2 linked regions of the Pelodiscus sinensis genome follow. The protein of the gene in region 1 purifies or fractionates together with the protein of each later gene. This does not show direct contact. Links are inferred from orthologs where the notes say so. Each region holds a gene or a part of one and is shown in the gene's direction. Other genes may lie near its edges.

Region 1 (7,128 bases):
CCTGAGGGAGAAGGGGAGCAGAAGGGGGTAGCTGTCCCAAGGTTCCATGATTTAAAGGGGCCCAGGGCTCCCAGCTGCTGCAGCAGTGGCCAGAAGCCCCAGCCCTTTAAATCACTGCCTGAGAACTACGCTGCATGCAACATGGAGGGCTGCCTGCTCCTGGCCCTGCCCCTTTTAGCTGAGACCCCACACCTTGCTGTGCACATGGAGCTGACCTCCCTCCGCCTCCATAGCAGACCACAACACAGTTTGTTCATGGTGAACATCTGCAGGCACAGCCCCCTGCAGCTGCCATTGACCAGGAACAGTGAACCATGTCCATTGGGAGCTGGGCGGGGATGGGGGAAGAAGAGAAGTGCCTGAGACTGCTTAACAAACAAACCAAACTATCTCAAGGCCCGCCATCAGAGAACTCTGTTGGGCCACAATTGCCAACCACTGAGTTAAGCTGACAGGGGATTCTGACATCTCTATCATCAGAATGGATTTGCTCTTTTGTGGCTGGGATATCAACTATTCTCAGCCAACACTGCATTGTGAGTTTGACTCATAGATTATCCTTGACATTGGTGAAACAGCCATTGCAGGAGAGCTAGCAAAGAGTCTAAGTATTTGCAATGTGAAAATATTACACCACACTGACATTCTGAACCCCTTGTGACACCCGGTACCACATATACTCCACTTTTACAAGACTAATATATTTCTTATGTATTATTTGAAAATTCATAACCTACTGAAAATCATTATCCTGTTAAATTGTGTATAACATGTGTAAAGCTTTGGGATGTTAAAAAGCAGTTAGTTAGGTTACATGCTGTGGGCTCTTCAGTATAAAGATTATACAGCAGAGCCTGCAGCGCAATTGCTCTGGGTAGAAGTTGTCCCACCCCTCCAGCCAAACCGGGCATGCTCCAAGTGCTGGGGCAGTATAAAAGGGAGATGCTCAGCTGCCTGGGCTGGATGCCAGAGAAGAAGGATCTGCTGCAGGAGTTCCAGAAGTAATCCAGCCAGAGACCTGGACAATGGGAGCTGGACACTGCATTGAGCCTCCAGAGCTGGTGGTGCCTTAGGGAGAGACTGGTGCTGTGAAGCCTAAAACCCACACGGTTCATACCATGCCGGTACAGACGCAGCAGTGCAGTGGAGGAGAGTTTACCAGTGTGGGATAACCATGCACATGTTCACATCCTTAGTATCTACACAGTCACAGTTCCACCAGTTTAATTATGCTTATTAGTTTTAACTTTAGCACTTAATTTTACTATCCCACAATTCCTTGTATTAGGATACATATAGAACAGACCCTCTCATTTTACTTCTCTTTACCATTTATTTTGTATACTTGAATCCTATCTCTTCTTGTTCATCTCCTTTCTGAGGAAGTTAATTAGAGCCTTCCCAATCTCTCATGAGTTTTTCCATCCTTCTGCCAGTTTCTTTGCCTGTCTCAAAATCCTCCCTAAATCTATAATATTAATTTTAAAACAGGCCGACTGGTTCTGGTACTGCACATAGTTTACTAAATGATACCACATGTATATTTTTATAATCGGATATTTGCTGTAGGATTCTCCATTCTGTTCTTTATACATCATCTTTGCCTTCGACCACAGCTGCACGCTACACCTTCAATAAGTTTTCCATCTCCTAAGTTGATAGTTAACTCAGAATTTTGTATGGTATATGAACAGCTCAATTTTTCTTTCCAACAATACAGTATTTTGCGTTTACGTACATTGTCGTCACAACCAATATAAGTGACTGGGCATTAAATCAGTGTGAAGTTTAGTACAGTCTCCTCTGGTTTTCTATATATTCCCGCCTGCTCCTTGCTGCTGAGTAAGGCTTGGCAGCTAGTCTTTAATAAGACTTAAAAATTAGATCTACTGTACATAGCTTTATCCCCCCAGGTTTATGAAAAATGTCGGACCCTTTGCAATGTAGTTATATTGACTCAAAAAATGTAGACGTCTTAACCAGATGTCCATCCCACCTCCCTGAGAGATAGTTTAACTCCACTGATAGACTGATCTTTCCCTTGATATAAAAAACATCTACTCTGCAGAACTATAATGGCACAGCTGCTCTTAGCACGGACATGGCCTAAGTACGGCTTTTATTTAACTTTGGATTGGTTACTGCAGCGCCATGCCCAGAAAAGAGAGCAAAAGCGAGCTCTGAAGAAGCTATATTAAGCCAGGTATACGCTATACCTGGGAGCTCAGCTTAGGGTACAGCAACTTAAGTCAAGTTTGGCAGTATCCCCATGGCTTCCCTTACTCCTCACAAGAGGAGTACCAGATGCCACCGGGGGCATCCTCTGAGTTGGATTTAGCAAGTCTAGTTCAGGAAAGCCTATGGGAATCTAGTTTTAACTAGACTTTCTAAATTGAAGTCCAGATGATCAATTGCAGCAGTGGCAATCTTCCATGGGGTGAAGACAAGCCATTAGAATGTGAGCACCTCTTGGAGGAGAGCAGTTAGAATTAGAGACAGATATGCACATTAGGAAAGACTACAGGCAGCCCCCGACTTGTGACACGATCGGTTTCTGGGGGAAGCATTGCAAGTCAGGGGCATCATAACTCGAACCCATGTTTACAATAGGCACCATCATAAATGCGGGCCGAGGACATAAGTCGGGGGTTATTAGCCCCTTCCGTATTAAAAAATGGTTGTAAGTGAGGGGGGTTGGAACTTGGGCTGTTGTAAGGCAGGTGTTGCCCATAATTGCCAAAAACACGTATGCAACAACATCTATGTCCAAGAAAGAATACATAGCAGGAATTGTAACGAGAGAAACCCAGCTCAGCTTTGAGCGCTGTGTGCTCCTGGGTTTGTTGCTGAATAGTCCTCATATTTCCCTATAGGCTGTGTTTAGGCTGCAGGCTTCTTTTGGAAGAAGCTTTTCCACAAGAGAGCTTCCAGAAAAACTTCTGCAAGACAGCATCCACACTGCAAAAGCCTATCGAAAAAGCCATGTGCATTATATCTTTCATTTCAGCTGTGATTACTATGGATGGAGTGGCCACCAAGGCTCCTGTGCTTTTTCCTCTTCCTTCTTCCAAAAGAATTCCCTCTTCCCCGTCCACACACACACACGTGTCACTTCCCGAAAGAGCTCTTTAGGAAAAAGTCTTCTTCCTCGTGGAATGACAATTACCAATGTTGGAAAACCCCCGCTGTTCTTTTGATTTTCTTTCACAAGAACGCAATTGCAATGTGGATGTAATTGGAGTTTTTTTCGGAAAAATGGCCATTTTCCCGAAAAACTCTGTAGTGTAGACATCCCCATAGCTTCTTTGTATGGAGAACGGGGAGACCTGCCGGACAAGGCTCTGTACAACACAAGCAGCTGGTCCCTGCCCCAAGAAGCCCCCTGTCGCCACATGCCAGCTAAAAGTGACCAGTAGCACTTCAGTGCTGCCACTCCCGGGGCGCCGAGCTGCGTAGGGGGCCGGAGCCGAGGGCAACCCCCTGCTCTGCAAGTGGGGAACAGCCCCGTCCCCGAAGGCGGCGAGGGGCGAACAGCTGAGGCGGGCCCGGAACGAAGGGCCCGCACCCAAGGGCCTCGCAGCCCAGGCTGAGGCAAGACTCGAGAGCAGGGGCAGCTCTGGAGACGGCAGCCCCGCCCGGCTGCCCATGCCGAGAGACGGGAGGGGCAGCCGCTACCGGGCGGGTGAGCTCCAGCAACACCCCCCTCTCCTCCGGCCGGGCCCCCTCTGCCGCTACCCGCCCTCGCAGCGCTCCCCTACCTGGCGCTGTGCGGGTAACACGCTCTCCCTGCCGCCAATGAACATCACTCGCTCCACAGCCACCGCGCTACACGGAGACTACAAGGGACGCTCCCTTGTGTACTACGCAAGCGCGAAAACCACTACTTTCCCGAAGGCTGCCGGGAGCTGCCCCTCCACACTACAGGTCCCAGCGTGCCGGCTGGTATAAGGTTGCCTAGTGTACTGGGACCTGTAGTTCCCCGCGCGGACGCGCGGCATGCCGGGAAATGTAGTCTTCGCAAGACTTAGGCGTGGCAGATTCCCCCTTCTTCCACCGCGGCCTCTTTTGCGCCATTGAAAAACGTCCTCGCTCTTCGTGGCGCGGTGCGTGCCGGGAGTGGCAGTCTCTGCCGGGTGCGCTGTGCACGCTGGGGCTTGTAGGCCCCCGCCAGTTTTGATTCATCTGCGTGTATCCGGGTCCCCCGCGGCGCCGGCTGAGCGGTGTTTGATGGCGTCGCCTAGCAGCGGCCGTGGCCTCCAGTAGCTTAAACGGAGACGGGTGAGGGCAGGAGGGCGCGGCGCTGGGGGAGGGGGATGAGCTGTAGGGCAGGAACCCCGCTGGGGAGATAGCGGCGCCTCCCGCCCAGGTCCCGTTGTCCGCTGATTCGCCAGGGAGCCGCGCCTCCCCTTGGCGGGCCCTGCGTGGCTGAGGAGCCTGGCTGCGGCCACGCACCGTGGGAGGATCTCGGCCGGCGCGGGGCTTGTGCCACTCCAGGCTGGCGTGTTCCCAGGGCCGGTGTAGGCGCGAGAGGCAAGTGGGGCGCGCGCCAAGCTTTTAAATACGTCCCTGGCCAATAGAAGGGCTGTTGGGAGGGTGGGGGCTCTAGTTGTGATGGGGTCATGCTGCCAGGGTCCTACCATCTGCCCTCAGCCTGAGCAAGCCTGTCCCAGCTCCCTGTATCTCTGGGCAGCAGGTAGCTCAGGGCTACTCGACTTTGGAAGCCCCGAGGGCCACAATGATACTCACAGCACATGCTGAGGGCCGCAACTTAAGTGTGGTTGCATATGCATGCAAATATATGTGCATATAGCTTCTTTCACACTGACGGGTATGAATACAAAGTCTAAGGCAACACCCAGGCCCCATTTAAGTCAGTTCTGCTGATATTAATAAATGCACTAATGTGATACTGGCTCTTTGTAGAAAGCTCACATACCACCTTTTGGTAAAATATTATGCATATCTCTGATCCAGGAGATCAGTGTAAAAGTCTCTGTATCCCGAGTCCTCTATGAGTTGGCACCCGGAGGTTCATAAGTCTCAGATTGAATTCACTTATCCATCCTCTCTTCACATAATGTTTTGCCTATAACATCTTGTATTTAATATCATCCAAGTAATTTTGGATTGAACTACAGCTCAATCATGTTCTGATTTCATACAGATACAAGGTAATGCAGTTTACCACTCTGGCTGGGTGAGATGAAAAGATGTCAGAGTTCCGTATGATCACCACAATGATGGTCTTACAATATTTCCTCACATATCTCACTGATTCTATACATACTTTACAATGAAGAAGAGGGGTAACTAAGTAGAGACCTTCATGATATGACTTTTAGAGACGAGGAGCCATTTGATAACCATCAGCCATCTAAAATCAGCCTCATCTACTATCATGTGGGTCCGCAAACAAATTGGTCAATAACTCCTCATGATCACTAGTATCCAAAGCTGCACGTAGAGCTAATATCAGTATGGACTCCTGAGCTTCATCTTTGGCTATAATGAGATCATTTGCAGTGGCAAGAGAGAAAGTCAAATGGTACTTAAGACCCTTAGGCAGAGCCCCCACCACCAAGTACAAACTCTTGTCCCCACCCCCTCATTTCCACTGGGTTTTGGCATCCCTTCTCTCTGCTTTGTGAATATTGTTCAGTTGAGGATAGAGCCCTCAACTGGGATATGCCAAGCACAGTTCTGCTTCTCCACCCCAACAGTAACAACATTATATTAGCTCTGCATGTCATAAAGTAACTTGCAATCCAACACCTCCTCCAAAAGAGATCATTTAGGCAAAACAGCTCCATCATGTTGGGCATCTGGGCTAAATGAATATGTCTGTGCAAGCAAGGTGCGTTATTATAGTCTTCTTTCCAAACTCATTCAGACCTTGTTTAAACAATCAAAGTTGGTATCCTAAAATATAATAGCCTATAGGTTTGCGTAACTTTCCCAAGTCATTAACTAATTAGAAACCAGGAAGGATACAAAAGGTGTGGAGGAATAGTAAAGGACTGGTTGAATTCTAGAGTGGGACTGTTAACAAATGATTCTCTGTTTACATTCTTGGATGTGCCAGTCCCGTGTAAGGGACGGTAAAGCCCTCAAACATTTGTCTACGGACAAAGATCGGTAGGGACGGTAAAGCCCTCAAACATTTGTCTACGGACAAAGATCAGTAGTTCTATTTCAGAACTAGTTGTTCACATTTCATGGCCTGTGTTTTTATGATGCCAATAGCCTGTCTGCATAATTTGCAGTCTCAGCCTTTTGTTCTTTGTGGTCTGCTACTCTGACACATCATCTTCTGCTTAGAATATTTTTTCTCTTGAGCTCTTTTCTCCTAATGAACTGGACAGAACTAGTATTTGAAAAGATCCTTGAATTTTTTTCTGCATGGCATACTGCAGCTGCCTCCCCCTGTCATTCAGGAAAAGTAAGAGATAAAAAATATATGGATACTGTATGTGTAATGTCATCCTTGGTAAATGATTATATGGAACATAAAAAGGGGCAAAACTGGGCTGAGGTAATTCAGAACAAGTTGTGCCAGTTCCCAGAAATGTGTGAGATTCCCATAGCCTTAGGTATAGGGAGGATGAGGGCTTAGAAGTAGGGATGTAAGAAAGTGGTTGACTAACCAATAAAACCTAGGCTTATCAGTTAGTCACGTTGACTATTCGCATTTCCCCACCCCTCTCGCTGCCTCTGTATCAGAGTATGCAAAATGGGAGGGGAAACAGGAGCCATTGCTGTTGGGAGCTTGCTTAAAAGCTAGTTCCCCCTCAGCATCGTCTCCGCGGTGCCACTTACCTGGGAGGCAGCAGCATGAAGCAAGCGTAGGTCCTGGACTTGGTGCGAGCCGGGACTGAGTGCTTCTTACCTTATTAATTGTGTAGTGATAAAAATCCTATTGACTACACGATGAGTAAATTACCCACTTCTAAGACATTAAAAAAAAAAAAAAAAAAAAAAAGAGGATTTTCAAATAGACTGAGCCCCAGTGAAGATGCTGGATATCTGAAAGAGAGCTTGTCATTTACAAAATATCTGTCCCAATTCCGTATGCCAGCTAGCATCAATGGAGTGAATACACTTTTTTTTAAAATTACTCAACATTGTTGC
Region 2 (7,732 bases), about 75 Mb from region 1:
AATAGGAGAGCTTTAAAATGAATTAGTGCTACCAAAACCAAAAACTACTACACTACCCCCTGCAAAAAACCCACAAAGGATAATTAGGAAAGTGGTTACTGTGAAGTCAAAATTTATCTGCAGTTATCAAACAGTAGTATACAGAATTGCTGTTGGATCTTAAAAAATTACTCTATCTTGGAAAATGCTGATTAATGGCAACTCCCATATCCACTTTTTGTGCAGACATATGAATCCAACAGCTTAATAGTGGCTGATTTCACAAGCCATTATAAATGTATGGAAAAGAGCTAAAAACTGCAAAAACTTTTTAATCAATCAGAAATTCCTTAGGACTGACTAGGAACAGAATGCCAGTATCAAGCTATTATTTGTTCCAATGGCCATGGAATTACCTTCCAGGAACATTAGACGAATCAAGAGTTCTCTCAACATTAGGAACACTACAAAACCTCTCTGACCAAAAACAAAACCAACCCCACACCCACCCACCCACTTTCCCACCATAACCAGTGTATCAGCATCACTTCTCTCCAGACCCCTTTCCAAAAGCACTACATTTAAGAACAGCTTTCTAGAACCACAAAAGAGAAGAATCAGAGGCTGCTTGGATTCTACAAGGGTTTTCAACACTACCAGCGTTTTGGAAGTGGCAGATTCTTGGTTATCATAGTAAAGAGTAGCTGTACAAAATCATAAAACTGTTTTCTTTTCCCTACCTGACAATCAGTTTAAAAAAAACTGAAATCAAAGTGTGTCTTGTTACATCTCAATTTTTGTAACACGTTTAATTAGCAATCCTGCAAGCAGGTTTCAAAGGGTCTATCAAGTAAGGATGTCAAGGACTAGTCGACTAGCAAATGCGTCTCGGTCATCTGAAGAAGTGGGCTGTGCCCACAAAAGCTCACAATATCATCTACTTGTTTTGTTAGTCTATAAAGTGCTACCAGACCTTTTGTTGTTTTTTAAGTTTTTCCTGTACAGACTAACTTGGCTACCCCCTGAAGCTTCTCAGATAGTGAGTTGACTACAGGCAGTCCCCGGGTTACATGGATCCGACTTACATCGGATCCCTACTTACAAATGGGGTGAGGCAACCCCGCACTAGCTGCTTCCCCCCAGCAGACCAGGGAGACGCGGAGCAGCTTTTCTCAGCAGACACCTAAGCTTGAGAATAAAGGACTGAGGGAAGTGAGGTGTGGGAGAATAAAACTGAGCTCTGGAAAAATGTTTGGCTAGAGTTTCCCCTACAATATGTACCAGTTCCAACTTGCATACAAATTCAACTTAAGAACAAACCTACAGTACCTATCCTGTACGTAACCCGGGGAATGCCTGTAGTCGATTTCTCCCCTCCCATCCCACCTCCCTGCGCCTCTATCACACAGAGGCAGCAAAGAGTATGCATGAAGAGGGGGTATTCCAAAGCAGCAGCACCACACAGCTGTTCCCAGGCTCAGCTGTGTGGCGCTGCCACTTTGAAACAGAGGCAGCGTTTCAAGGTGGCAGCGCTGCTGCTTTCCCCCAGGTTCTGGGGAAATGCCACACGGAACCCAGTCAGCTGGGGAGTCCCCGCTGACAACGGGCTCCTTGCTTCACTTCTGCTTAGAAATGCACAAGAGTCCCCACTGGTGACTCTTGTGCACTTCAAAGCTGGCACACCCGCATGCAGCCTGGAGTCAACGCAATTTCCCGCTGGCCCTTAGCTGCAAGCAGAGTTCCGCATGCCTCCTTTAAAATGTACAAGAGCCCCAGCGGGAAGTTCTACAGAACTCAATGGTTTAGGCTTCTTAGGCTATACAGAGAAACCTTACCATTATATGACAAAGACTTTTAAAAGAACATGTACTTTAATGCCTCTGGATACGTATACAGAAGAAATTCCATATGTGCCCCTGATGAAAACACATTTCTATCTCCAAAGATTTCAACTTCACAGCCAAAATTTTCAGACAGATGGGAGCATTTTTTTTATACCAGCTGTTTGCAAAGTTACATTCTAAGACTGTTTTATCAAACCAACACAAACAGTGCATTTAGAAAATCTCTGTTTAGAAAAAATAATCCCAGTTACTACTTGTGGATTAAGAAACACTTTTTTCATTTACAGATCAATTTTTTAAACAGGAACTCTGAATCTGTGTATTCAGTCTCAAGCGCAGTATGGCCTTGTTTGAGGTTTCATATTGAAATACACAATTGTAATTTGTGTTTAACAAATGACCACCTTTCAAATGTAAACCAACAAAATACCATCTTCACAAACCTGCAGCTGTGGGGAGAGATTAACCAGATTGTCTTTCAACAAGCTCTTGATTGGCAAAGCCATGATATTCACATGTGAGAAAGTCTTCACAATCACGAAGAGGGCTTGGAAAAAAAGCCTCTTTACAAACATAAAGGTTTACATTCTACAGCAGTGGTTCTCAACTGCTGGGCCACGGACCAGTGTCAGGCCCATAAATTGCAGGCTGCAGTGGCTGAGAGTCAGGGCTAGAGTACGCCCTGGCCTGGCCTCATGAGCTGCTGCACAGCAGCCGGCTTCAGCTCCAGCAGCCGCTACCGAAGCGGAGGCCATTCACCGTAGCCCCTCTAACATTTTATTTGCATATCTGTGCATTCATTATTTGCATAATGAGTATGTAAATAAAATATTACCAGTCCACCAAAAGTTTGTGAAGGAGTTTGCCAATCCGCAATACAAAAAAAGATTGAGAACGACTGTCCTACAGAACTCGATGGTTTAGGCTTCTTAGGCTATCCAGAGAAACCTTTCATTTCCCTGCTAGTCAGAGACAGCTAGAATTGTTCTGATACACCCAGGAAACCATTCTTCATTTGAAAATTTAAAGCAGTATTTATCACAACATGTGAAGTATACTTACAGACTGTCCTTTTTTGTGTTTGCGCCTATACAGAACAGTCCAGTTGATCTGACGGGGGTTTCTCTTGGAAAGAAATGCAGATTCGCATTTTGCATTCAAGAACTGGAAAACCTAGGGAAGCAAATTTATTTTAAGGCAACACTGTTATGTTTTCTGTAAGGTATCCAGGCCTGTATGTAAGAATTTCTGTGTGTGTAGGGTGTGTGCGCTCTTTTTTTGTAAATGTGGACCTCAAGGGTGGAGACTGTGGAAAGGTGCTTTCGCACCCCGTGCATATGGGTCTGATAATCTTTTGATCTCACTAATGCATTTAAGTGACATCTGTAGCTTTTTTATTTTTAAATATGGCCTCAGCTAAAACTTCAACTTGCATCCCTGCTTTCCATCTAATCTTCTGAATGGCCAATGAAAGCATAAACATTAAATACAAATTTCAAGACCATGTTGGTTATGGGGTGTGTCAGGTTAAATATATGTCCGACTCCTCAGCTATGTACAATGATTTTCCTGTACAGAAGAACTGGGAAGCAAGTAGTTCTTTCATAAACTTCATGATTCATGCTTTAAAATCCATCCCTGACATAGCAACAAGGAATGCTTAACATAAAAATGTCACCAAAATCTTTCCCCTCATAACATTCATTATGTAAAGGAGATGTGGAGAACCATTTTTGTTTCAGCACCATGGGGAGACCCACCCCGCGCAAGCCTGAGGGGCCAGATCCAGGCAAGCCAGGGGTCGCATGGAGCCTCTGTGCCTGAGGTTCCTCACCCAGATGTAAAGCTACACTCTCAAAGAGTAGACAAACCACTTAGGTTGTACTACACAACTGATGCTATGTCCTAAAAAAGCCATCTCCACCTCGGAAGATGAAAACCATCAGTTGTATCTTTTAGGCTAGTATTTGCAGTGAAACTCATTTAGCACTACTCCAGGAGGAAGTGGAGGGAGGGGTTAAATTTTAACATCACAGAGGGAACAGGAGAGCGGCTATCTGCAAACAATGAGCATATCTAAAGTTTCATGTTAACAATCTGGACCCCGCAAACGCCTTCCCACTCAGCATACTATTCCTTGTCAGCACAAACCGGTGAATCAACCTAACCGGGATTGAAAACTTCCTTGGTTTCAGACCCCATTCTTAAAACCACCGCTTCCCAAACCACGAGTCCACGAAGACTATTCTTTGCCCGGGACACCTAAGTACAGATGCTACCTGCTCCCGCAGCGCGCAAGCTTTATACACGACAGACCCACCCCCCCCTCGCCAGGGCCTCCAGGGCGAGCCCGTGGCTTCCATTCAACAGCCAGGAGGGCGCCACTCAGAAACTGCCGCCATTTGGCCCCGACCCGTAGGCTCCGCGCCGGGCCTCACCTTGCCGTCCGTGCGGGCGTAGCGGCGGCCGTGGCCCGGGTAGATCTTGTAGCCGCTGAAGCTGCATAGCTCGACCCTGCGGGGAGGGGGGGCAAGAGGAAGCAGAGCGGGTTAGAGGGGCGGGGCGGCCGGGCCCCGAGGGGCGCTCGGCTCGGAGGATGGAGCCGGATGGTGGAGCCGGTCGGGCCGGCGACACTTACTTCATGATGGCGGCGGCAGCTCCAACTCTAGCGAGCCCGGCAGCCAAGAGGAAGAGAGGATCATGGGAAACCGCCTTCTAGACGCGGCGCGGGGCACCATGGGAAACGCGCACCGCGCAGAGCATCACGGGAGGAAGCGCCCCCGTTTCCCCCCTGAGGGATTTCTTCCCCCCCTCTCTCAAATTCGCTTTAAAATGGCCGCTGGCGACGCCGCGGGGCCCCTCGTCAGGGGGTTGCGCAGCTAAAACGCCCAGAAATTATTTTTTCTCCGCGCATTAAAGCAGCCAATCAGCGCGCGGCGCCTCGTTGCCTGGCGTCGTTAGCAAGCGGGAAGTATGGCGGCGGCGGCGGCGCGGAGCGAGGCGCCCACGTTGGCTCTGGGAGCCAGCGAAGGTAACGGGGCGGCGGGGACCGGACCGGGTGGGCTATGGGCTTGCTGGGGGACTCTCGGTGGCAGGACGGCGGGGCCTAGTGATTTATCTTCGGGCCCAACGTTTGTTAGGCTGCTCGCGCGGTGCATCGTGGGATTTGTAGTCCACCCGCAACACAGTCTGGCCGTGAGCTCGGGGAGTGGACGACAAATCCCAGAGGGCTTTGCGCTCTCACAACACCGCTCCTGGTGAATAGGTGCCGAGGCAGCATCTGCTAATTGGAAGGGGAACGGTCCGCTAGCGGCCACGCCTGGAGCCTGCTGCTCCCAGCCCGTTAACGGGGCGGCAGCAGCAGGCGTGTAAGGGCAGGCTGGGCGAATCGGTCCCTTGCCCACTCATGGCATGTCGGTGTATTTGTGCGGGTCTTCTCTCTCCAGCATGTGGGGGGGGGGTACTAATGGGGGTCTGACAAAGCAGTGAGACCACGAGACAATATCACTAGTGTCATCCACTTTCCTGCTGCCCGGGCAGCCCTTGCCCAGTGGTGCTGAAATTAGGGCTGTTAGTGTGTAGCTCTTACATGATTAACTGATAAGCCTAGGCTCTCCAGTTAATTCTAAAGTTTACACACTCCCCACCCCCTGCTGCCTCTGTATCAGAGGTAGCAAGGGTGAGGGGAGGGTTTTTTTTTTTAAACCAGCGTCCTGCTCCTGCACAGCTGCCTCCAATGGAGGCAGCTGGCAGGAACCAGTGCTTGAGAGGAGCTGGGTCCCTTTGAACACCAGCTCCTGTCTTCCCCCCACCTCCCTCCCATGTGTAAACATGTATCTGGTAATAAATCCAGTGATTACATATTTACACAAACATCCCTAGCTTAAACTGCCTGCTGCAATTGGTTGGGTTTAGGATGTAAGGGAGGTGCTGTTGTGAGACGGCAGCTAACATCCGGTCCTATAAATGATACAATTATTTGCTCTTGTGAATGGCTGTGCAATGCACAACTTGCAGATGCTTGAGTGCCACCTATCATCTTTCGGGCAAGTGTGGATGCTCCTCTGAAGATAGCAGTTCTTCTCAATGTGTAGTTCTCCGATCCCTGTCGTCATCGATAGAAAATGAGTATGTAATAATGAAGTAGCTGCAAAGATCTAACTCCCAGTATGCACTGTCTTCATTTACATTGTGAGCTCTTCAAGGCAAGAACCTTGTCTTATATCTGTAAAGTGCCATTCATATTTATAGATGAACAATAAACATTTCCTAACATACACTGTTCACTGATGAAAGGGAGCTTTCCTTTGTGAGTGGAAGAGGTTAGGCAGAGAGAATCTTATAAATAAGAAATATCCTGTACTGTCTCCCTGAATTTCCAGACAGCTTCCATGTCTCCATTGCTGATTATAACTTTTCTAAGTAGTTTTAGCACAGCTGCTTTTCAGAATTCTGTGGAGAACAGTGAGCTCAACAAGTAATGTGTGTTTAACATTGATTCTTTTGGGAAAGTAAATAGCAGACATACTTGCTAGTTTTGTAGTTATCCAATCAGTTCAGTGATTGAAGACTGTTCTTTGCCAATAGTGTCTCTTTTTAACTTTACCATGGGTACAGCAATAGTATAAGAATATAGTCATATAAAACCCATATTGATAGAGCCCTGCAAATCTGTGACTATCCATGGCTCATTTTGATGGATGCAGACAGAAAAAATTGTATCTAGAATCCTGCAAATTTACAGATAGCTCAGCCGAGCCACCACAGAGGGAGGGGAATGGGGTGAGGCGGTGATGTACACAGCCAGGGGGCGGGGCTGTGTACGTCACCACCCCCTTCCCCTTCGGCTGTGGCACTTGGCTGAGTGCTGCGCCCCTCAGCCGGGCCGCCGGAGGAGCCAGCAGTGCAAGGGGCTGTTTGGACTCCCCTGGGGTAGGAGGGGAAGGTAGGGCAGTGATAAAATAAAATAAAAAAATATAATGGAGATTACCTATCTCCTAGAACTGGAAGGGACCTTGAAAGGTAATCGAGTCCAGTCCCCTGCCTTCACAGTAGGACCAAGTACCACCCCTGACAAATTTTTGCCCCAAATGGCCTCTGCAAGGATTGAACTCATAACCCTGGGTTTAGTAGGCCAATGCTCAAACCACTGAGCTATCCCTCCCACATGGCCCTGGTCCCAGTCGCATAAGTCACTGCCCCTCCCCCCCCTCCCTCGTGGCAGCCCAGCTGAGCAGGCAGCACTCAGCCAAGGGCCACGGCGGGAGGGAAGGGGAAAGGGGGGCGGGGAGAGAGAGGCAGGAGGAGGACGAGAAGAGAAAGGGAGAGTGAGAGGCAGGAGGGGGAGGATAGCTGGGGGGGCGGGGGGAGGCAGTAGGAAGAGAGAGAGAGAGAGACAGAGCAAGAGAGCTCAGGAGAGAAGACCTGAAAATCCCGTCTTATGACGGGCTAATTGGCTAGTAGTAGATAAGAATGGGAGAGTGGTTTAAGTCTGCTGTATATACAGTATCTCCTAAACTGAGCTAATGTCTGAAAGAGATAATTGGAAACCATAGATCCTGAAAATCATTAGTGATCTAAATTTCACTTATCTTGGAAACTGCATCGTTTCTCAGCTCTGTTATAATGACTGCCTTTGGCTGGAATGTGTTCACTTTGTCCAAAGAGTTAAATGGTGGTCTCAACTTCAGAATTTTGTCTTGCCCAAAACATATTTGGACTCAAGTGTTGAATACTTTTAGCGTGTACTATCAAATGCATCTATTTGCTCAGGCTTTCCACTAGAGGCACTGCTGGAATTTAGAACATTGCATATTCCATCACTTAGAATTTTCCCATTTTTGGTCCTTATGGGAAAGTTAGTTTGATGCTGTAGAGCTGTTCATACATTAAAGTTAGCTGGAGAACAA

What was found. Proteins that work in one complex are often made in the same cells at the same time.
Region 2: the proteins of CEP290 (region 1) and CEP97 purify together in Homo sapiens (co-immunoprecipitation; 4 studies listed by BioGRID and IntAct, with this or other methods). This does not show direct contact. The link is inferred for Pelodiscus sinensis from reciprocal best matches to the Homo sapiens genes CEP290 and CEP97.

The regions. Positions count from the first base shown.
Region 1 is NC_134711.1:76,742,994-76,750,121, reverse strand, and holds the start of CEP290 (centrosomal protein of 290 kDa), read left to right. Parts: upstream 1-4,124; 5' UTR 4,125-4,278; intron 4,279-4,300; exon of another isoform or gene 4,301-4,530; intron 4,531-7,128. UniProt on the Homo sapiens protein: Involved in early and late steps in cilia formation. Its association with CCP110 is required for inhibition of primary cilia formation by CCP110.
Region 2 is NC_134711.1:151,732,331-151,740,062, forward strand, and holds the start of CEP97 (centrosomal protein of 97 kDa), read left to right. Parts: upstream 1-4,714; 5' UTR 4,715-4,796; coding exon 4,797-4,854; intron 4,855-7,732. Other genes in the region: RPL24 (large ribosomal subunit protein eL24), read right to left, coding at 2,886-2,996, 4,262-4,337, 4,462-4,466. UniProt on the Homo sapiens protein: Acts as a key negative regulator of ciliogenesis in collaboration with CCP110 by capping the mother centriole thereby preventing cilia formation. Required for recruitment of CCP110 to the centrosome.